Sus scrofa: one gene and its partner. The protein of the gene in region 2 purifies or fractionates together with the protein of the main gene of each other region. This does not show direct contact. Links are inferred from orthologs where the notes say so. Each region holds a gene or a part of one and is shown on either strand. Other genes may lie near its edges. The genes, in order: LRP5 and SOST.

Region 1 (11,548 bases), on a different chromosome or scaffold from region 2:
GGGCCCCCCAGTCCTGGCAGTGGTAGCTGGAGAGGGAGGAAGGGCCAGGGTGGGGGTTGCACAGACCTGGCCTTGAACCCAGGCTCCCCTCAGCAGCTCTGCAACCTGAGAAACCCCCACCCTCCCAGAGCCTCCACTCTCTTGTCCCTGAAACAGAAGCAGCCACCCTCCATCACAGGCTCCTCATAGCAGTGACAGTGACAGTGGCGCGTGTGCATGTGTGTGTGCCCCCACACACATGCACCTGCTTTGGCGGGGCTCACACAGCATTGCCAGCGGCCCTGCTGAGAAGGCAGAAGCATCACGGGCTATGCCCTGCCCACTGGCTCCTGTCACCGCGTGAGGCACCTGGGTTGCGGTACTTCCTGGGAGCCTCCGTGAGCCCTTACCCTCCTGTGAGGCCCCAGAAGAGAGTCCAGGGAAGATGAAGATGGGGACACAGTAGAGTCTGAGGGCCAAAGCCTGGGGAGCAGGTGACAGAGGGCCGCGTCCCCCTGTGGAGAGGCCCAGGGCCAGGGTCCGAGGGGGAGCCGAGTGCTCTGTGCAGCTCTCTCCCCGGCCCCTCTTCTCCAGGGCAGCCTGGACATCTGCGGAAGCTGCATCGTCATTCTCAGGCCACAAAGCCACGTGAGTCCCCAGGCTGGAACTCAGAACGACGCCACCAGGAAGCTCAGGAGGGTCAAGGTGGCCCCATCAGGGGACAGTCATAAAATGTCCCTTCTGTTCTTGGCTAAGCTCTCTGGGGTTCATGGTGTGAGGTGGGGCAGTAGAAAGTTCCAGAAGGATAGGCCTGTGGTCCTGCTCTCCGACATGTGCTAAGCATTTGCTGTGGGGGGGGAGGCACAGTGTGGTCCTGGGGGTGAGGATGAGGACAGAAGGGACAGGGACTCCCTCAGGAGCTCAGCAGAGGAGGGGATAAGAGAAACGACACATCCAAGGTCACCGGGGGACCAGGAGGAAGAGAGGAAGCCCCCGGGGATTGAGTTTCATCCCCTTTTTATTGCTTCTGACATCCTCACAACTAACAGCAGCTGGCATTCTCACGGGCCAAGTGTCAGGGACCACGCGAAGTACCCCGTGAAATGATAACAGCCCCATCAGGTGAGTGCTCTCAATTTCTCTGTTTCACAGAGAAGGAAGTGGAGGCTCAGAGAGGCAAGAAACCAGCCCAGGGTCCCTCAGCTGGGAAGTGGCAAAGCTGGGATGTGAACCCACATCTGTCTAACCCTAAAGCTTAGACTTTTTTTTTCTTTTTTTTTTTAAGCTGTACTCGCAGCATGTGGAATTTCCTGGGCCAGGGATCAAGTCTGTGCCACAGCTGCAACCTGTGCCACAGCTGCTTCAATGCCAGATCCTTAACCTGCTGTGCCAGGTCCAAGCTCACAGTCCTGACCACTTTGCATGCATCCTTAGGGAAGAAGAGAACCAAGGGTAAAAGGAAGTGAAAAGACAGAACTACTTAAAAAAAAAAAATTCACTACTGGTAACTGACAGCACAGTCAGGAAAGATATAGCTAACCTGAACAGCACTGAATCTGACTGACATTTACAGAACACGCCGCCCAATAAGAGAGGACACGTTCTTCTCAAGCTCACATGGAATATTCCCCAAAGTGGAGCATGCTGAGGCATAGAACATTACCTGAACAAAGTTAAAAGGATGAAAATCATACAAAGCAGGTGCTCAGATCACAACGGAATTAAACTAGAAGCAAGATGGCTAGAAAGTTTCCAACTCTTTGGAAATCACATGACATATCTCTAAATAACACGAGGGCCAAAAAATTATCTTGAGAAAAATTTTAAAATATTTGAATTAACTCAAAATGAAAATATAGGCGTTCCCGTCGTGGCTCAGTGGTTAATGAATCCCACTAGGAACCATGAGGTTGCGGGTTCGATCCCTGGCCTTGCTCAGTGGGTTAAGGATCCAGCGTTGCCATGAGCTATGGTGTAGGTTGCAGACTCGACTTGGATCCCACGTTGCTGTGGCTCTGGCGTAGGCCGGTGGCTACAGCTCTGAATAGAGCCCTAGCCTGAGAATCTCCATATGCTGTGGAAATGGCTCAAGAAATGGCAAAAAGACAAAAAAAGCAAAATGAAAATATAATTTATCCAAATTTGTGGGATGCAGCAAAAGGAGTGCTTAGAGGGAAATTCATAGCCCTGATATACCTATATTAGGAAAGAGGACAAACAAAGAGACAGTCTGATTTGGAAACTGTATGCTACCAGGAATATATATCTAAAAGGTGCCTGGCAGCAACCTCACAGGCAGAGGAATCAGGTCCCTGCTCAGTGTCCCAAAAGAAAGTGCTGAGGTCACACCTACCACCACAAGTCAATAGGTTCTGCAGGAGCACAAGGTGGACTGGGCATGAGCACCGTGGGGTTCCATCACCCTTGGCGATGCAGATGTGGGAACAGCCGCCATTGTCCCGGGCACAAGGGTGGGCTGCTGTGGAGAGAAAAAAGGGAGAGGGTTGGGTTCCTATCTCAGGACTATGGCCCAAAGGATGGAGGGGATGGGGGCCAGGCAAGAACTCATAAGAACTGGTACTCCTGTAAGAGTGTAGGAGATCCTCCCACTTTATTTTCAGGGCAGCCCATGTAGCCTGTTTCTACTGACACTGCCTTTTGCAGATGAAGAAATGGAGGCCAAAAGCACTTAGAGAACTTTCCCAGCGTCACAGCCCAGCTCATCTGTGCCAGCTTCCACTGAGCCCACAACTGTCACTCTATGCTGCCTACCTAGGTGTCTGTCTCTTGCGGTGTAGTGGTCTCCAAAGCTATGTCCACATCCTACTGCCTGGAATCTGCGCATGAGACCTCATTTGGAAAGAGTCTTTGCAAATATAACGATGCTAAGGATCTTGAGAGGGGTCTTTTCTGAATTATCCGGGTGGGCTCTGGATTTTTTTTTTTTTTTTTGTCTATTTTAGGGCCGCTCCCACTGCACATGGAGGTTCCCAGGCTAGGGGTCTAATCGGAGCTGTAGCCACCAGCCTATGCCAGAGCCACAGCAATGTGGGATCCGAGCCGCGTCTGCAACCTACACCACAGCTCATGGCAACGCTGGATCCTTAGCCCACTGAGCAAGCCCAGGGATCGAACCCACAACATCGTGGTTCCTAGTGAGATTCGTTAACCACTGAGCTATGATGGGAACTCCTGGGTGGGCTCTAAATTCACTGACACATGTCCTTATAGGAGATGACAGGAGTTAAGGATCCTGCATTGCCACTGCTGTGGCGTGGGTCCCTGCTCTGGCATGGGTTTGGTCCCTGGCCAGGGAGCTTCTGCATGCCTTGTGTATGGCCAAAAAAAAAAAAAAAAAAGAGAGATGACACAAGAAGTGGAGACAGAGGAGAAGGCCATGTGCAGACAGAGGCAGATATTGAAATGATGCAGACACAGGGAACACCTGTAACCACAGGAAGTGGGAGGCGCAAAGAACCCCCCCCCCGCAGCCACCCCAACCTCCAGAGGGAGCCCAGTCTGCAGACACCTGGACCTTGAACTCCAGACAGTAAGAGAACATGTTCGTGTTACTTTAAGTCACCCCGTTTGTGGTGATTTGTTACGGGAACTGCAGAAGACTACTACACACAAGAACTAAGATAACAAGGATGCTGAACCCCTGGGAACTTGAATATTTTAATTCAATTAAACCTCACGTGCCCAACACCTGGACAATGTTTAGGAGCCTGGGAGGGGGGCTGACCTCCCTCAGGTGGGAGGAAATGACTCTGCCCCTCGCTCCCACCCCCAGAGACAAATCAGTGTTGTCAAACTCCCCCTCAACCTTGACAACTAGGTGTTTTAAATGGAGGAATCTGGAGTTCCCACTGTGGCTCAGTGGTAAGGAACCCAACTCGTATGCAGGAGGATGCAGGCTCAATCCCGGGCCTTGCTCAGTGGGTTAAGGGTCCGGTGTTGCTGTGGCTGTGGCGTAGGCAGGCAGCTGCAGCTCAGATTAGACCCCTAGCCTGGGAACCTCCATATGCTGCAGTTACGGCCTTGAAAAGCCAAAATAAATAAATGAATAAATAAATGGAAAATGGCAGAGTCATCGTTTAGAGTAGGGCCAGCAAACATTTTCCATAAAGAATCGGAAAGTAACTTTGGCTTCACGAGCCAGGCCACCTGTCACGACTCCACAAGTCAGCCAGCTGCCTCGCAAAGGCAGCCAGGGTGACACACACACCGACTGTCCACCCTGGTCCAGAGTCCAGTTGTGGGATCTTGCAGGGCAGCAGGCCGGGTGACACACATCCTAAGGCTTTCCCGCCCTTGCCCCAAACAGAGCCTCTCTCTGTCACCCTAGTCCCTGCACATTCGTGCTCGGGGACACATCCCCGGTTTCCAGCCTCAAACCTGCTCCCTGAATGTCTCCTGGCCCCCCTGCCCCCTCAGTTCCAAGGAGCTTCTGCGCAGCTGCCTGGCTTTCAGCGACACCAGCAGGCAGTGGTCTCAGCATTTGTGGGACCAGCATCTCTGTTTTGACCATCTGCCAGGGACACACAGGAATCCAGGACTTTGCTGAGGATGGTGTGAGGGGCAGGTAAACGCAGGCGTCTAACCCACAGGCACAGCGGGCCCCGGTTCCCTGGAAGCTGGTCGTCCAGTGATTTCTCTTACCTGGGACCCAGCTGAGCACCCACGGGGCAGAAAGCACCCTCTAGCAGTCAACCCAGGGGTGACAGACTCACAGCATTAGAGGTCCTGACTCCAGTTCTGAGCAGGGAGCCCAGAAAAAAGCCCAGTGCCTAAAACATGGGCTCTGGCCTCACATCCAAGCCCCATCGTGTTTACTGGCTGGGTGACAGGGTGGCGTCACACCCTTTCTGAGCCCTGCCTCCCTCAACCGTAAAAGAATTATTGTGAAATAACACACATAACGTCATAATATACTGGGCACAGGGCCTGGCGTGCAGAACAGTCAAAACCTCGGGGGTGTGGCCGAGGTGGGAGGCCAAGGTGACGGGCTGGGCTGGGATGGGGGGCAGCCCCCCGGGCCTTGAAGGCGGCCAGACAGTGGGTATCACAGGACAAGGACAGCAAAGGCCCTGTTCACCCAGCTGGCAGCCCAGGTGTATTTACGGAACGAGGAGAGAAAAGCAAGAAGACAGAGGGACAGACATACATGTATGCCCACCTGCCTCTAAACACATGTATGGCCGTATACAGAGGGGGTGGAGGGACCAGAGGTCCCTGGGGGACACCCACCCTCCCCCAGGCACGTGGGCACAGTGCAGACTCCTACAATGACCCCCGAAGTTCCCACCCTACTCCCCAGCTGGGATGAGCTATCGTGTCTGGGGTTTTGTTACCTTCCTTGGCAAGAGGCGTTGAGAGATGTAATTAAGGTTACTAATCAGTCAAAGGGAAGCTAATCTGAAAACTGGCCGGAATCTAATCTCTGGCCCTTGGAACGCAGGGCGGGTTCCAGGTGGTAGAAAAGGAAGCCAGAGGGGTTTGCTCTGTTGCTGAGGGCGGGGAGCACACGGTGAGAGCCTGAGGGTGGCCTCTGGGAACTGAGAGTGGACCTGGCTGAAAGCCAGAACGCAAACAGGGCCTCAATCCTACAACTCTCGCGTTGGCTCAACCTCCTGTCTTTCTCCAAGGGGACCAGGTCGGGGGGCGATGTGCTCCGTGCAGGCGCCCACCCTCCCCGGGGACCCTGCACACACCGCCGCCTGCTGCCGCCCCCCACGTACAGAACTCCTCCACGCTGATGTCCTCCACGGCGTGAATGCCGGTCAGGTGGGCGACACGGCCCTGCACCCGTGTCCGCGAGTCCCCCGTGGTCTTGTCCACGCGCTCGATCATCTGCTGCTGGCGGTCAATCCAGTAGAGGTGCTTGCCCAGCACAGTCAGGCCCACGGGCTGCACGATGTTGGCGTCCTCCAGGGTCAGGCGGTTGGCCCCTGCAGGAGGGACGGCGTGCCCTGAGTGGCAGCTGACTCCGAGAGCTCGGCCCTCCCTTGACTTGGGAGGACGGGGGGGGCTGGGGCTGGGACACAGTCCCTGGAATCAGGCAGATGTGAGGTCCCTCCTCGGATGTTCCTGCTCCCACCTGGGCTGGCCTCGGGGCCAGGGCCATAACCCAAATCTGGGGCGCAGTCACTAGCCCCCTGAAAACAGGGTGCTTCCCTCCCCTCAGCCCCCTCCCCCCCAACTTCTGGAGGAAAAGCCCCTCCAAGCACTGACTCTCACGCCTCTCCAGCCCAGGGGCCTCCACACCAGAGCAGCTGCGAGAACAGGCACGAGAGGCAGAGGGTAGGATTCCTCCTCTACCCCACGCTGTGGGGCCCTGGGCAGCTGGCTCAGCCTCTCTGAGCCCAGGGGATCATCTGGGACCTGGAACGCACGGGGGGGACTATGCGTGGTAAAGCCCCAGCACGGGCCCCGCTGCCACCCTGTGACTGACGACCAGGAGGGCCCTGGTGGGTCAGACCTGGTGGCTGCCGAGGGACGGATCCCCGGGGAGGCCCCAGGGCGTGTACCTGACAGGTCGCAGCTCTCGATGCGTTTCAGGTCTGCGTCCACCCAAAAGAGCTTGCCCAGCGCGTTGTCCACCACGAGGGCCACGGGGCGGATGAGGCCCGTGGTGAAGAGGACCTCACGCTCGGTGCCATCCAGGGCGGCACGCTCGATCTTGGCCGCCCGGTCCTGCATGTTGGTGAAGTACAGGTACCTGCGGGAGGGGCGGGTGAGGGATGCTGCTGCGGACGGAGCTCCGCGCAAAGCCCCGGACAGACCTGCCCCCAGCCCTGGGGGCACCCAGCGGGGCTCCGTCACCCATCACATGGCCCCAGCCTCTCAGGGCCCCGGAGCTGAAAAAGTCACACCCTGGAGGGGTTGCAGAGTGTCCCACACAACCTTGCATCTACCCGGAGCCTCAGAACGCGACCTTATGTGGAAACCAGGTCTGTGCAGGTGTGATTTAGGACAAGGTGAGGCCCCACCCCAGGTTACGATGGGGCCCTCAACCAGTGACAGTGGCTTCGAGAGAGAGAGAGGAGCAGCCACACATACACAGAAGCTGACGTGAAGACGGAGGCTCAGAGGATGCGGCCCCGAGCCCAGGCCAAGCAGCGGCTGGGGCCCCAGAAGCCGAGGGCAGGAAGCTTCCTCCTTGGAGACTCAGGTGGGAGCACGGCCTCGCCCACACTTGACTGCAGTCCCCAGAACCACAAGGGAACAAACACCTGCTGTTTTAAATCCCCGGTTTGCAGTCACTTGTGGCGGCGGCCCCAGGCACCAGTCCTCGCTCCCATGCTTTGGTTGCTGAAGAGCCCCCTTAAATGACTGGGCCCTCGTGTGCTGTGGGGCTGGCTCTACCACTGTCTTCACATGGAAAATGAGCCCCTGGGAGGTTTGTCACCTGCCTGAGGTCACTCAGGCAGTAAGTGATGGGGCCAGGATTTGAACTCGGCTCTGTAGAGCTGATGCAGTGCCTGGACGGGTCTGATTCCAGCCTTGAGTGTCAGCTCTGCGGGTACCTGAGGTGGCCACCGTGCTCCTGCTCCTGTCCCCAAACCTTCCTGTGACTGGCTTTATTTCTGAACCCCATGTCATGTGGCTTTGGGTCCCCTCCCATCCTGGTCTTCCCCTTTGGGAGCCTCGGCATCCATCAAAGTGTCCCGGGCGCTCTCTTGCCTACCAGGGCACCCGAGGGCTGACGGTGGGAGCAGCAGGGAGCTTCAGAGAAGGAAGGAGCTCCCAGTTAGGTAGTGACCTCCCCGCGGTGGGACATATGCAAGTAAATAGTCCACCACCGCCTGGAAGGGGTGGTTGTACAGGGTTCAAGTTTGATGGGATGGTACGAAACCCATGAACGAGGACTTACAACCTTCCTGTGTTTCTCAGCAAAGCCCGGGCCCCTGCAGAGGCTTTCAGTCAAGGCCATCCCGGGGTCTCTGACTCCCCGCCAAGACTGGGGAAGAGTCAGTGTTTCCTCGACCCGCCCAGCTGCTGTGGCGGGAACCCGGGGGAGATCCTGGCGGACGGGCACGTCGGGTGGGAGAGCCCTCCTGGCTCGAGAGGCTGCCGCTCACGGGACGGACGCCGGGCACCCCCCCAGCCAGTGCAGACCCCACCCTGCGGTGCCCACCCACCCCTTCGGCCCCGTACCCTCGCTCGGCGTTGACGACGATGGCCCTCGGCTTGTCTCGGTCCCCCCGGAGCACCACGCCCATGGCGTCCCCGTTCAGCCGGTGGACGTTGATGGTGTTGGTGGCCTCGCACGTCCAGAACAGTGTCCGGCCGTAGACGTCGATGCTGAGGTCGTGGGGCTGCCTGTCTGGGCTCTGGCTTTGGCCCGGAGAGGTCAGAACGAAGGGCTGCAGAACAGGGGGACACGAGCACCAGCTAAGGACACCACAGGGAGGGCAGAGCCCTCGATGGCCGCGTTCAGACCAAAGGTCAGCCCCCCACGGGGCACCTGTCCTTTCAAACCGGCTCTTGCCCAAACGGCCATGTGGGAGCGACACTGACTCCTAGGACAGCTCCCGCCCGTCAGCTCGGACCCCAGGCTCAGCCATCAGGGACTGCACTGGGCCGGGCTGGCCGCCACCCGACCCAGACCGGCCTGTCCCTGCAGCACAGGGGCCCGCCTGCCCGCTGAGCCGTCAGCCCAGGTTCATGGGCCCCAGCTCAAGACACCTTCCCTCTCCTTGCTTCCGTGGACTCAGGCTTTGGGATTAAGACTCGAATGTTACTGTTACTTAAGCTGAGGCTTTAGAACAGCAGGTGCCACACAGAGGGCCACTTCATACAAGTCTCTTCCCGGAGGGAGAGAGGCCACGGGGAGGAGGCCTGGCGAGGGTGGGGACTGCCCACAGCACATCCTGGGAGCCCAGGGCCAGCGCGCCCCTCTCAGGCCAGTCCTCGCCACCTTCCTGCGGGTCCCCCAGGGGCGCAGCCTGACTCCTGGCCATCCGCCCTCGCAGGGATGAGCCCGGCTTCCGGAGCCACTGGCAGAGTCCCCTTCGCAGGGGACCTTGTTTCATGAGCTGATGCAGCAGGAGAGCCCAGAGCTTCCTCTCCTCACAGGCCTGGGCCTGATTCCCCGGTGGATCTGGTCCCCTGGGGTCCCCGTGGCCTGACCTGGTGCCAAGGGCTTCCCAAGCTGCTGGGCCACCGCCGCCAATGGCCTGGTGAAGAGCTCCCTGCTCTGAGGAGGGAGCCTCTCAGGGTGAGGCTGGGGTCAGAGCAGACTCTCCACTTACACCTCGCTCCAGCAGGTGATACCAGGCATCTCCCGGGGGTAAGAGGGGGCTGGCAGCCAAAGAGCAGCCCCCTTCCCCAGGCCCAGCCTCCTGGACCCATCTGGAGAGGAACAGCCCCCTCCAGCCCCCGCCCACAGCGGCCTCTGGTCCAGCCCCACTGGGCAGCTGGAAGTGTCACCCGCATCTCTGCACGTACCGACGTGCGCAGCCCCAAGGAGCCACACGTCAGCTCTAAGCAGGCACAGCCCTGGAGTCACGGACCACAGCCCAGGGCGGCCAACGGGCTGGGCGGAAAGCAAGACTGCAGCTCGCCCTGGCCGGACGCGGGACTGCAGGGCGGGTAACGGGGCAGCTGGGCACAGAGTCATCAGAACAACCAGCTGACAAACGTGCCCAGGGGAGCCACACACCGCCCCCGCCCTGCCAGGCAGAGAAACCGGGAGACAGACTGCACGTGCTGGGCCGGCTTCAGAGAAGCCAGACCCCGCTTCTGACACAAGGAACAGGCCTCCGGCCAGGGCCGAACCGGGGCAGAACCCTCTCCATCAGCACGCTCAACACCCTTCCCCCTCGCCAGTGCAAAGCGGCACTTAGCCTGTGGGCGAGCCTGCGGCTGCAGACTCCCTCCAGCCCAAAGGAGGGCACAGCCCAAGCCACCGCTGAGGTCGATGGACCAGCAAAACGCGTGCTGCACAGACACCATGTGTTGGTCTTAAAGAGGAAGCAAATTCAGCAGCGCCTCCGCGCCTGCCCGCCTGCTTCTCGTCCAAGCATCCCATCCTCATAAATCTCTTTCTTGCGTGTGGCTTTGTCTCTCGCTGAATCCCTTTGCGCAAAGACATAAAGACCCTGAACCTCAGTGAGTCCAGACACCGGGTGAGTGATTTTAATTTAAAACTGTGGGTTTGGGAGGTCCCATCGTGGCACAGTGGGAACGAATCTGACTAGCACCCCTGAGGACACGGGGTCGATCCCTGGCCGTGCTCAGTGGGTTAAGGATCCAGCCTTGCTGTGAGCTGTGGTGTAGGTCACATATGCGGCTTGGGTCTGGCGTGGCTGTGGTGTAGGCTGATGGCTACAGCTTCTGATTCGACCCCTAGCCTGGAAACCTCCACGTGCCGCAAGTGCAGCCTTAAAAAGAAAAGACAAAAACCGTGGGTTTGTCCCAATCTGGTTCTAGGCTGGGTTTGACTCCCGGCAGGTGGGTTCACATTCCAGTCTGTGTTCTGGCTGCGTTCAGGCCGTTAGCGCTGTCAGATTCAAAACCACCTCCTCCTCTCTCCAAAGAGGGTGCGGTCTTCAGCGCATGAGCCTGCTGTGGCCTCCTTTGCTCGGAAAAGCAAATTCTGCCACGTGCTATGGTGCCAACGAACCTTGAGGACATTAGAGGAAGTGAAATAAGCCAGTTACAAAAAGATAAATACTGTGTGATTCTGCTTAAATGACGTACGTAGAGCTGTCAAACTCACAGAAACAGCAAGGAGGACGGCAGGTGCCAGGGACCGGTGTGGGGGTGGCGGGGGGAAGGGAGGGTTAGTGGTTTTTGTTTTGCTTTGTTCTTTTCTTTTTTTAGGCCACCCCGAGGCAGATGGAATTCCTGGACCAGCGATCAGGTTCAAGCTGCAGTTGCGGCAACGCCAGATCCGGAACCCACCATGCCAGGCCGGGAGACTGAACCTGCATCCCAGCGCTCCAGAGACACTGCCGATCCCGTGGCACCACAGCGGGAACTCTGAGAGTTCGTGTTAAATGGGCACAGAGTTTCATCTGGATGGAGCTGATGGTGGCGCCACAATATGCATGGACTTAACGTCACTGAGCTGCTCGCTTAAAGAATGTTTCAAATGGGAGTTCTCGTTGTGGCGCAGCAGAAATGTAGCCGACTAGGAACCGTGAGGTTGTGGGTTCGATCCCTGGCTTTGCTCAGTGGGTTAAGGATCCGGTACTGCCATGAGCTCACAGACACGGCTCGGATCTGGCATTGCTGTGGCTGTGGCATAGGTTGGCAGCTGTAGCTCCCATTAGACCCCCAGCGTGGGAACTTCCATATGCTGCAGGTTCACCCCTTAAAAAAAAAAAAAGAACGTTTAAAATGGAAGTTCCCATTGTGGTTCAGCAGATTAAGGATCTGGCATTGTCACTGCAGTGGCCCAGGTCACTGCCATGGCGTAGGTTCAATCCCTGGCTGGGGGGGAAACTTCTGCCTGCCACAGATGTAGCCAAAAAAAAAAAAAAAAAAGGTTTAAAATGGTAAATTTTATGTCATGTATATTCCACCACAAAAGAATAAACAATGAAGTAAAAAAAACAAC
Region 2 (12,131 bases):
TCTGTCTAACCCTCAGACTATTCATACAAGCCCTGCCTCTGGCTGTGCCCCCGGAACATATGTTCCCGCAGCAGAACACTGCCCCTCCCACCGAGCCTGTTTGTTCCCTTTCTGATCGGCGCCAGGCTCACAGACCCCATGTAGGTAGAATATAACTTTCCATAAATAACCTCTCGCCGACCCTACAATTTAGCCTTTGCGCTTTTTTCCCGTCGTGGTAATGGGACTGCAGCCTGGGCTCATCTCTTCTGGAACTCAGGGTCCCAGCAGCAGACCCCAGGTGTATATAGTTTATTGCCCAAACCAGGACATTTTTGAGAATAAATGTGGGAGCTGTTAAGAATTACACGGAGGAGTTCCTGCTGCCGTGCAGTGGGTTATGATGCTGACTGCAGTGGCTTGGGTTGCAGTGGGCTGGAGTAGGGGTCTTGGTTTGAATCCTGGGTTCCCTGATGCTGCCTCACACATGGTGGGGCTCACTACATGTTAAGGAATTGAGGCTCCTCCACCCACGAACCTTCAGCCTCAGTGCCTTGGCTTGGGCCGTGCCCTCTGCCTAGAATGTTCCTGCTCCCCTCACCTTCACCTGCTGAACCTCTGAGCAGCTCCCACCTTCGTGAAACCCTCCCTAAGCCTCTCCATCCCTCGTTCCCCCTGCAGAACCAATTATTGCCATCCTTGGTCCCTGTAACCCTTTGTACAGAACGATGGGACCTGATCATCTGCCCACGTGCCCACGAGGCTCTGAGCAGCTCAAGAGCGTGTTGGGACGGGGAACCGAGCCCACGTCTGGTTGTGGGCAAAACGTTTAACCCCTTGGTGCCTCTGTGTCCTCAGATTCAAATACATACCTGGCCCCAGAGCCCGTGTCCCACCCAGCTTGCCACATTGCCCCCGGGGGCTAGGCAGTGTATCCATTTCCTATGTGCCCTCGTGTTCTGGGCTCTGGGACACGCTGGGATTCCCTGCAGAGGCTCCTCAGCAGCACCCACTGACACCTATCAAAGACTCATGGATGATGGTAATGAACTTAGGTGGGCTCATCAGGAGTTAAAGGGAAAGTCATGGGGAGGACCTCAGCTTATTTTGGGGGGGTGGGTTTACCCCAAGATGGGCTGGACTTGATTCAAAGCTTTGCAACTGCTCATCCCTCCTTATGGAAAGGGAAGAATATTTCTTGAGTCTCAGCTGGCATCCAGCCCTATTAAATGAGACAAAAATTTTTTTTTTTTTTTGGCTGCACCCTCAGCATATGGAAGTTCTTGTCTAGGGATCAAACCCACAGCATGGCAGCAACCTGAGCCACAGCAGTAACAGTGCCCTGATCCTTAAACTACTGAGCCACCAGGGAACTCCAGTAATCTCATCTATCTACTTTTTTTTTTTTTTGCTTTTTAGGGCCGCACTCGTGGCATATGGAGGTTCCCAGGCTAGGGATCCAATCAGAGCTGTAGCCACCAGCCTACGCCAGAGCCACAACAATGCAGGATCCAAGCCATGTCTGCGACCTACACCACAGCTCACAGCAATGCCAGATCCTTAACCCATCGAGTGAAGCCAGGGATCAAACCCGCAACCTCATGGTTTCTAGTCGGATTATTTTCCACTGCACCACGATAGGAACCCCCTCTCAAGACTTTTGAGAGAAGTACAAGACATTGCCCTTGCTTGTGAAGAGTTTACCTTTTCACCAGGGAAGCATAAAACTCACACTGGAGAAAAGGCTTGACTGAACTCCAGCGAGCTTGGTCCTAAGGCGTACTTGGCTTTGTGTCTCTCCAAGTGCTAGGCACGGCTTGGCCGGGCGAGACAGGTGACCCACGAATGGATGTTGCATGGAAGACACAGAGTCAGGAAGGAAAGGAACGATACGAACAAAGGGGCTGGACGGCTGAGGAGAGAGGCATCAGCAGGGGCTGGAGCATCTCCGGAAGTTTTAGGGAAGAGGTGACAAAGAAGACGAACCCCCAAGAAAGAGCAGGAGTTGTGGGGGGTGTCAGCTCAGGGGGCCGGAATCAGGACAGCTCTGGCCACTTGGGGGTCATTAAGGAAGATTGGTGGAATGGGGGATGGGAATCAAGCAGCCTTACTTGTCAACTTGATCCTGGGCAAGGAGGAACCACTGGGGGATGGAGAGCAGGGGTATCGACGTGGGGAGAACAGTGTTTGGAGAAGACATTGGGGCGGGCAAGCTGCTAACGGGAGAGCAGGCTGAGGCTGATACAACAGCCTGCATAAAGGGAGGAAGTCTGGGTTTGGAAAGGAAGGGACGGAACTTGACCTCTCAAAGGAAGGACATAATTGCTACAAGGGCTACCATAACCCTGTCAAAGGGGGCCTCCAAGGTTTAAGCGCCAGGGACCAAGAGAAAGATGTTAACGGTGACAAGAATGACCACATGTGGTTGACAAAACAAGATCACATCCTCTCCGTGTCACTTCATGGTCTTTATTAACAATGCCTCTGGGTTTTGAAAGAACAGACGGGTATTTCATAAAGCAATATTTATGTTGTCCTTCTCTACAAGGAAAACTTTGGCATAAATAACTTAAGTGAGAAAATAAATAGGTAACTTAACTCTTCTTTAAAAACTGTGATGTTCATTCTTGGGGACAAATCCCACATGAAAAGATGGCAAAAACAACCAGCTGGGTAGGCTTTCACATGGCACGTGCTTCTGCTGAAAAAAAATTTTTTTTTTTGTAACAATGAAAACTGCACAGAAAGTAAGTGGTGTCTGGAAATGATTTTCCAAAAAGATTTTTGGATGGCAGCTATGAAGCTTTGCGGTTTCTCAGCATATATACAGCACTTGTCATTTTTTCCCCAATGATATTATTTTAATATAAGATATGCCATCCCACGTAACAGCAGTAAGAAGCTCTTTTCCAGCCAGAAATGTTTCCGTGGGTGGGAGGCAGGAGGAGGTACCTCGGAAGGGACCTGCTGGTGTTTGAACGGGCGGTGGCAAGCCCAGGGTATGGGTCCTTGAGCTCTCCTCTCTGCAGAAAGTGATGACAAAACATGGCCATGGGGTGGCAGGCTGCTCTTTGGGAACAGGGGGCGATTTCTGTGCCTCCCACCACCCTTGGGACCGTCTTCTCTACCCCATTTGATGCTGTTGTTTCTGGGTCCTTTGAGATGGAGGGGTGGGGGTAGCCAAACATCTGGGGAGAGCAGCCTAGGACACACCACAGCTTCTTCCCCGAGTTAGTCAGCCAGAAATAGACTCCTTTCTTTTTTCCTGCTTGTTTTTCATCTTTGGCTGTCAGATCAGAGGATTACAACTCCAAATGCTGGAAGCGACAATATCAGTGATTCAATCCAAGCTCTCTCTCCTCTGCCCATTCAAAGGGACTCATAGGACAGTAGATTCTTCCAGATGCTAATCTCACTCCATCTCCATTTTATAAAGAGGAAATCGAGGTCCGGGAAGAGAAGAGCGTAACCAGAGGTCACCCGGCAAGTCAGTCCTGGGCACAACACGGCACTAAAGGCTTTCTGACTGGCAGAGAGCTGGGGGGGTGGGGTGGATCTTATCGAACTTTCTTAACCAGTCCCTGGACTCTTCTCACTCCCTACTGCTCCCTTAAATCCCCAGGGCAGTGAAACGCTTTCTTTCCTGCCTCCTCCGAAGTGGGACCTGCAAAGGTAGGCGGCCCCGGTGGGCGGGGCTACGTGGCTCAGTGTCTGTGACTCAGTTTCCTCCCCTGCCCCGGGACCCCCTAGGAGGGAGAGAAGAGGGGGGGCTTTGCTGACACCTGGGATCCACAGGGCCTGGCTCCCTCCCGCTGCAGCCAGGAAGGTCTCAACCTCCGGCCCTGGGTTGCAGGCACTTAAAATGAAATACAAACGCTCAAACCGCGCGCAGGGGGGCGGAAACCTGGGGCGCCTGGGTGCGGGGCGCGGCGCCACTGGCTCTAATAGGCGTTCTCCAGCTCCGCCTGGTTGGCTTTGGCGCCCCGGGCGCGGGGCCGCAGCTTCCGGCCCTTTTGCGGCCGCGCGGCCTCGGGCCCGAAGTCCTTGAGCTCGGACTGGTTGTGGAAGCGAGTGAGGCGCTTGCACTTGCACGAGGCCACCAGGCGCACCTTGCGCGCGCGCGGCGCCGCGCCTCCGGGACACAGCAGCTGCACCCGCTGCGCGCGGTAGCGGTCGGGGATGCAGCGGAAGTCGGGCCCGCTGGGGCGCCACCACTTGCCGCGGCCGATGGCGTTGGGCAGCAGGCGCGCGGGGCCGCACTGGCCCGAGCACACCAGCTCGGTGACCGGCTTGGCGCTGCGGCACGGCCCGTCCGTCACGTAGCGGGTGAAGTGCAGCTCGCGGCAGCTGTACTCGGAGGCGTCTGCGGAGAGAGGCGCGCGCGTCAGGGCGGCTGCCCAGTCGGGCCACCCGCCGGGCTCCCTCCAAGCCACCCTCGCCATTTCCAAACCTGCCCTCTCCCTGGACGCTTTGGCCCCTGGGGATCTGTTATGCGCGAAGGGCCCGGGTACTCTGGAGCTGGGGGAAAGCTCTCTGGCCCACCCTGTCCCCCTAAAACTTTGGGGTCAGGTGACTGCTTCAAGGTCAAATATGGGCTCCACCACTGTGTGACCTTGGGCAAGTTACTTAACCTCTCTGTGCTTCCTATCTGTAAAATGGCTGGTCTTGAGGATTCCGTGAATGAATCCATTATGTATGTATTTCAGGGGACACCGCCTAACACACAGTAAGTGCTAGAAGTGTTGGCTCTTGTATGTTATTATTATTCCTCTCCAGGGGGCCCTCTTGGCCAGAGGTAAGTCACATCTGTGCCACAGGGTCCCTGGCCTCACTCTCTGAATGGCTTTGGCTTCTCCCAGATTCCTCTTCTGGCTGGGAGGGCTGGCAGAGGGGATGGAGGAAGGAGCGGGGCTGATTGAAGGTACTAAATCAGGGCAGCCGCTGAGAAGAGAGATGGAAGGGGAGGTGCAGCCGAGTCTGAAGTCATCAGACGGGAAAGGAGCAAGGGCGGCCTGCCCGGCCCCTCATGACGGCCGTGGTCACTGAGGCCCAGAGTGGGGAAAGCACTTGCCCAAAAGGCACAGCTCGTCTCCCGGCTCTGCGCCCCTGGGGCCTCAGTATTTCTCAGCTCCCACAAGGGCGTTTGCTGGAGCCCATGGAAGGCTAGGCTGACGGTCAGGGGACAAAGGGCTGATTTTTTTGACTGCCTTTACCTCCCTATCAGAGACAGACCAAGCTCTGATTGGAAACCTACAGCTGCAGCTGCCGCAAACATGTATTAGGCACCTGCTGTGTACCAGGCACTCTGCCAGGCCCATCTTTGTGTGTGTGGGTGGGGGGGGGTACATTTGATGGACACCTGATGGTGACACAGGCTTGCCCCCTGCTTGGGGGAAGGTTGGGCTCTAAGGCCTGGCTTGATCCCCCTGAGACACCTTGACTGTGTCTCCCACTGTGGGCTTAGACCCCTGGGAGCTTTTTTACACGGCTGGTCCTCATGTGAGCACCTGCTCATCTCCAAGGGTCTCATAGGGACAGTTCCAATGTGACACAAAGCAATGAAAAATAGTCCTAAGACCAAAACCAGAGAGGAGGCGGAGAAGGCCAGGGCCGCAGCCCTGGGAGAAGAAGCACAGCAGGAGAGACGTGGGGGCTGCCCTCCTCCCGTGGCTGGCCTTCTGGTTTCTGGGCGGGTTTGGCATCTTGATCCCTGCTCCCAAGCCGCAGGGGTGGTGTGTGGGGGCGGCCTCCTTGCCCAGGGAAGGAGGCTGTGGGGCTTTCCAAGAATAGTACCCCTAGGTCAGGCTCTTCCTCTGCAAAGGGTGACTTTGTTTTGAGCACGAGGCTTCCTCTGGGCCAGTGGCTCTCATAGGAGCCCAGGGAGGTGGCGTCTTGTACTCGAGCCCATCACTTGAGCTTAGTTGACCTTCCCTGGGCAGGAGCAGAGGAGAGGCACTCCTACCCACCCCCTTTAAAGATGGGTGGTTCCACCAGCCTTATCTGGGGGTGCCCTGTGCAGAGCCCCCAGTCCCCGCTGGTGGTGAAGCAGGGCAGAATGCTGGAGCCTGGGCAAGGGGGACTCCCTCTCTCACCTGGACCATGGCCAGAGGGCCTCACTCTGAAGTGCCATCCTGGCCCCTGCCCCCAGCAGTTCCCACCTGCTGCAGGGCCAGCTGTGCACACTGCCCCCCAGGCTTCTCCGTGTGGACCTGACCAGGAACCCAGGTGCGCCCTCTGCTGGGGTCACTGCCTTTCTACCAGGGTCAGCCTCCCTCCCAGGGCGGAAGCAAGGCCGGGTCTGGGGTGAGGTTTTAGGACAGATGGGGCCACCTGTGTCCACGCCCTGCACAGAGGATGCTGCCTCCCGTCCAGGGCCTGGACCCAGCTGCCCCCCAGGTCAGAAGCTAAAACTGTGCTTGCAGCTCCCATGCCTTCTGGTGCCAGCTCACTGGCTAGACCAGGGGTGGTGGGAGCTGGAAGGATGCCGCTCTGGTATCTCCCACCACTTGGTGGAGATTTGCTCCTGCTTTTGGCCCTGACACCCCACCCCACCCCACCCCCTGCCAGGGCTGACTTGTAACGGGATCCAAGTGGCTTCAAATCTCAGTTCTCTGCTTGCTGACAAACCACTTAATCTCTGAAGCCTCCGTTTCTTCACCTTCACCTTGGGAGTTCTCCGGGGGTACATTTCGGGTGCAGCCCAAATGGTGTCTGCATCCAGCAGGTGCTCATAGACGTGAGGCTCCCCTGCCTTGTCCCCTCTCCAGTGGCGTCAGCAGCTGGACCCTGGTTCCCCTCTTCTCAGGAGAGGAGTGTTTGGAGTCTCCTTTCTGAGCCCCTGAGCCTGTCCCCAGGCTGTACCCTCACCACCTCAGCCCCCTTCCTGCTCTGGGCTCTCACTGCCAGTCCCCTGCCCGTCCCACACCCTGGCACTTGAAATCCAAGGCTACGCTGGCATGCCATCCTTCCCCTACTTCCAGGTAGGACTGTCCCTCCGCTGGTGCTGACAGTGGCTCCCAGTGTACCCCAGCGTGTCAACCCTGGTCTTCGACCCCCATCAAAGCTAGAACATAGGTAACCAAAGAGGACCTACGGTTTAACACACGGAACTCTGCTCACTATTCTCTAATAACCTATATGGGACAAGGAAAAAGAATAGATGCGTGTATATGTATGATTGAATCACTTCGCTGCACACCTGAAACTGACACAACCCTGTAAGTCAACTACACGCCAATAAAATTACAAAAAAAAAAACCCACCCAAAGAGAACCCTCCCAGGACCCTTATGCTACAAATGTTCCGCCCCATACCTTTGGTCTCGAAGGGGTGGTGGGGAGGCCTCCCTCCGTTCTCTGCCCGGTTCATGGTCTTGTTGTTCGGCTCTGGCAGAGGCTCCGGGTACTCGCTCAGCTCAGGGATGATTTCCGTGGCATCGTTCTTGAAGGCCTGCCACCCCTGGCCCTCTACCATGCGGAAGGCTGCGTGTACCAGCAGGCAGACGAGACACAGGGTGAGCGAGAGCTGCATGGTGCCAGCCGGAGGAGGGCACCGGGCCGTCCAGTAGCACAGGCTCTGGTCCCCAGCCTGGCCACGTTTGCCTTTTTAAAGCCCCCTCTGCCTCGTGCCAGCCAATGAGGACAGGCTGGGGCAGGGCTGGTCCCATGCTTCCCTCAGCCCAGGGGGAGGGAACGGGGTGTGCTCAGAGCAGGCCCTCCCCCAAAGACTTCTCCTCGGGCTCAGAAATCTCCCCAAAGTGCGGCTGGTGCTCCCAGGTGACCCACAGCGAGGGGGCGGGCCAGACGAGCCTGCTCTCCGTGTCTCCCTCCCACGCGCAGGCGCCTGTGGTTTTCAGATATCAGAAGGAGCTCCAGCTCCTCGCCTCCACCTCTCTGGGCCCCTCGGGCTTTCTCAAAACCAACCTGGACCAGTTTAACAAAGAAAACGGCAGCTCTGCGTCCTCCATAGGTCTCAGCCCAGCTGATCCCATGTCTCAGACCAAGTTCATTTGTCTCGGGGGTCTACGAGTATCTGTCCCTCCCCCCACCCCCTTCCCCTGCCCCAGATCCCGGCAGACGCAGGAGGATGCTTTTTAAGAAACCTCCTTGGCCCTCAACTCCATGCAGCTCGGCATCAATTATCCAGACCAAGAAAGCGCCACTCGTGTCCTCTGGAAGGGAAGAGGGAAAACCAGAAGGCCACAGCCAGCGCTCCCGCTTGGTGGAGGGAGCAGGGGTTCTGGGTTCAAGGCCAGGATGCACAGTCAGCAGGCCCTGGTGATGGAGACAAGGAGGAAACCTTAGCTCATGCTTCTCAGAAATCCTGCATTTGGTGACAGGCGCGTCTTGGCGGGCTAATGTGCCAAAGGCAGTTATTTCCCTGGGCCAGGCTGTGGGAAGGAGCAGAGAGCAGAAAATTCCTTTTCTTAGCAAAAGCGAAAGCCAGCATTTTTAGTGCTAACGTTCTTTTTCTTGTCTCCCAGCCCCTTACATTTTTCAAAGCGAGCTCTGAGGCCATTATGGAAAACCTTATCGGTGCAGAGTACAGGGAACATTCCGTGAAGCCACCCCAGGTCCAGCCAGCCACAGAGAACCCAAAAGGAATTGCTCCCTAGGCCCTGGAGAAGAAAGAAAGGCCCGGGGGGAGGCAGGTTCACACCTGAGGTGCAGGAAAATGAAGGAGGGCCGGCGGCGGAAGCTTTCATTGCAGATGTATTGTCTGAGGCGGCACAGCCCCTCCCGGCCCTGGAGGAGGCTGGGAAGAGGGCCGTGGCCCAGGTCCCCTTGGTATTTTCACTGGGCAATGAATCAGCGCACCCCACCTGCAGAGCCTCGGCAACGCCTCTGCCACCTGCCTCGACTTGTAAGTCGCTGTGTCCATCTGCGGCCGTCTGTCCCTCCTTTCCATCATCCATCACTCGACACATGAATGCAGCTGCTCTGACAGTTTTACAAGCCAGACAGAAGCCCCTACAGGAAGGGCCTTCTCTGATACCTGCTTCCTAAGTCAGTTTCCTTCAGGGCAGACGAAAACAGCTGTGGCCATTGTTGGGGGTGATCTATCTCTCCCAGCAGAGCTGGCCTGTGTTGTGAGAAAGGGGGCCCTGCGAGCCCCCTCCCCTTGTCTGTGACCCTCCAGCCTCCTTTTTCCTTGCTCTGGAATGTGAGCCATTAACCCTGTTGCGGCCAGACAACTGTCTTCTTGCCCTGGACTTCGGAGAGGGCAGTTCCGCTGTCTGGAGTCTTTGAGCTGGTGAGAATGATGCTGGAGCCCCACCTGCTGTTGGGATCTGCGGCTCATCCACAGGAAAGGGACTCGGTGGGGACCATCCTTGGAACACGTCTGCCACCTGCTGGAGATGGGAGGAAGAGCCAGCGACCAGAGGACGGCAGGGCTCAGGATTTCATTTATTTTATTTGAAACTGAAGTAATGTTTAGGGAGAGCACAGGGGAGGGAGAAGGAAAAGAAGAAGAAGACGAAGGAGAGGAAGGGGAAGAGGAAGAAGAAAAAGAAGAATCCAGTGGACTTGAACTTCTAACTTATCTCCATCCTTTAGAATTACTCTCTGCCAAGGTAATGGTCACGCTTTCCATAGAATGTCTCAGAGAGAATTTACTATGATGCCATCTGCTTTTCCCCTTAACACTAATTCAGCTTTATATTTATTCAGTCCGCAAACGTGGCAATGTTCAGAGCTAGACAATACTCCCTGGAATTAGACTCCCAGGGTTTTATTTCTGTTGTGGGTAGTTTAGGGGGCTCCCCTATCCTCCATAGGGATGCTGTGAACATCCTTGGACAAAGTCGTTTTTTGAATTGAACCTTTTATTTTGTGGTCATCGTATCACGTGCACTTGTACGAAATAATACAGAGAAAATTTCCTATTCCCTTTGCCTAGTTTTCTCGTATCATCTTGCAAAACCCAGGGTTCTGACATCGACCCAATGCACTGGTCTTAGATTTCCCCAGTTTTATTTGTACGTGTGTGTGTGTGTGTTTAGTTTTATGCAACTTTATCGTGTGGGTTGGTTCAAGTAACCACCATCACAGCCAAAACAAAGAACAATTTTGTGACCGCAGAGATGACCTCTCCTTGCTTTTTTTTTTTTTTTTCCTTTCTTCTTAGGGCCGCACCTGGGGCATATGGAAGTTCCCAGGCTAGGGATAGAATTGGAGCTGTAGCCACTGGCCTTCACCACAGCTCACAGCAATGCTGGATCCTTAACCCACTAAGCGAGGCCAGGGATCGAACCCTCATCCTCATGGATCCTAGTCAGGATCGTTTCCCCTGCGCCACAATGGGAACTCCTAATTTCCCCGTTTTTATAAGGACGTCAGTCACGTTGGATTAGCGCCCACCCTGATGACCTCATCTCAACACCTGCAACAACCCTACTTTCAAATAAGGTCATGTTCTGAGGTACTTGGAATAATAGATGAATATTGTTTTCTTTTTCCCTTTTTTTTTTTTTAGAGCCACACCTGAGGCGTATGGTTGTTCCCAAGCTAGGGAACTACCACAGCCACAGCAATACCAGATCCTCAACCCTCTGAGCGAGGCCAGGGATCAAACCCACATCCTCATGGATACTAGTTGGGTTCTTAACCCGCTGAGCCACAGTGAGAACTCCTCAACATATAAATTTTGGAGGAACACAATTCAACACATAATAGCATGTTTCTCCGCAAGGCTGCCAATGCCAAGCTTGGGCTGTTAAAACAATTTCAATTGGGAGTTCCCGTCGAGACTCAGCGGAAACAAACCTGACTAGTATCCATGAAGATGTAGGTTCGATCCCTGGCCTTGCTCAGTGGGTTAAGGATCCGGCGTTGCCATGAGCTGTGGTGTAGCTCTCAGGCACAGCTTGGATCTGGCATTGCTGTAGCTGTGGTGTAGGCCAGTGGCTACAGCTCTGATTCGACCCCTAGCCTGGAAACCTCCAGATGCTGAGGGTGCAGCCCTAAAAAGACAAAAAATTGAAAAATTAAGAAAAAATAAAAGAACAAAGTGTAATGGGCCTTTTATTTTCTAATTAATTAATTAATATTATTATTTGCTTTCTAGGGCCACACCTGCAACATATGGAAGTTCCCAAGCTAGGGGTCGAATCAGAGCTATGGCTGCCGACCTACACCACAGCCAGGCAACTTGGGATCCAAGCCGCATCTGTGACCTACACTACAGCTCACAGTGACGCCGGATCCTTAACCTACTGAGCGAGGTCAGGGATGGAACCCTCACCCTCATGGATACCAGTTAGGTTCATCGCCACTGAGCCACAGTGGCAAGTCCTATTATGGGCCTTTAGAGAAGAGAACACCCTTGGGGTGGATCTGGGAAGATGTGGCATTTGGACCAGACTCTGAAGAACATGCCAAATTTGGAAAGTAAGTTATGCTCCCGGGACTCGGGACTGTAGAGTGTTTGAAAGAGACCTCAGGGGTAAGTTTGCTTCACTCTCCACTTGGCTCCCAAGCCCCCCATCTCTCATTCATGGAAACTGAGGATTCTTTTTTTTTTTTTTTTTTTTTTTTTAAGGGCTACACCTTCAGCATATGGAAGTTCCCAGGGAGGGCTGAATCAGAATTGGAGTTGCAGCTGCGGGCCTCCATGGCAACGCACAGCCACGGCAACATGGGATCAGAGCTGCATCTATGACCTATGCCGCACCTCTTGGCAACACCAGATCCTTAACCCACTGAGTGAGACCAGGGATGGAACCCACATCCTCGGGGACACTATGTCAGGTTCTTAACCTACAGAGCCACAATGGGAACTCCCCAACTTCTTATAAATGGGTTGGCAATTCAGCAGACTATATAGGTCAGAGACTGTCTTTTTCACAGCTAGACTCAGGCATGTCCACAACCATAAAATTACGCAAGGGAGCAGCAGACACCCCTCCTTGGTTAGCTCTGAATGTTGGGATATCCTTGACACTGTACCACCCCGAGCAGACGCCAAAAATTACCTGGATACCAAACTGTTAAAACACTGTGATTATCATTCCTGAGTCTCATTTTACAGGTGGGGTCCTTAAAGCAGCCTGGACCTTTAAAATAAGAGTGTACAGGGAGTTCCTGTTGTGGCTCAATGGTAATAAACCCAACTAGTACCTGTGAGCTGTGGTGTAGCTCGCAGACACGATT

Evidence for each region.
Region 1: the proteins of SOST (region 2) and LRP5 purify together in Homo sapiens (affinity purification with mass spectrometry; 3 studies listed by BioGRID and IntAct, counting the BioPlex papers as one, with this or other methods). This does not show direct contact. The link is inferred for Sus scrofa from reciprocal best matches to the Homo sapiens genes SOST and LRP5.

The regions. Positions count from the first base shown.
Region 1 is NC_010444.4:4,549,346-4,560,893, forward strand, and holds part of LRP5 (low-density lipoprotein receptor-related protein 5), read right to left. Parts: intron 8,349-11,548; coding exon 8,140-8,348; intron 6,701-8,139; coding exon 6,510-6,700; intron 5,931-6,509; coding exon 5,721-5,930; intron 2,459-5,720; coding exon 2,333-2,458; intron 1-2,332. UniProt on the Homo sapiens protein: Acts as a coreceptor with members of the frizzled family of seven-transmembrane spanning receptors to transduce signal by Wnt proteins.
Region 2 is NC_010454.4:19,350,659-19,362,789, reverse strand, and holds SOST (sclerostin), read right to left. Parts: upstream 7,879-12,131; 5' UTR 7,510-7,878; coding exon 7,293-7,509; intron 4,343-7,292; coding exon 3,921-4,342; 3' UTR 2,442-3,920; downstream 1-2,441. UniProt on the Homo sapiens protein: Negative regulator of bone growth that acts through inhibition of Wnt signaling and bone formation.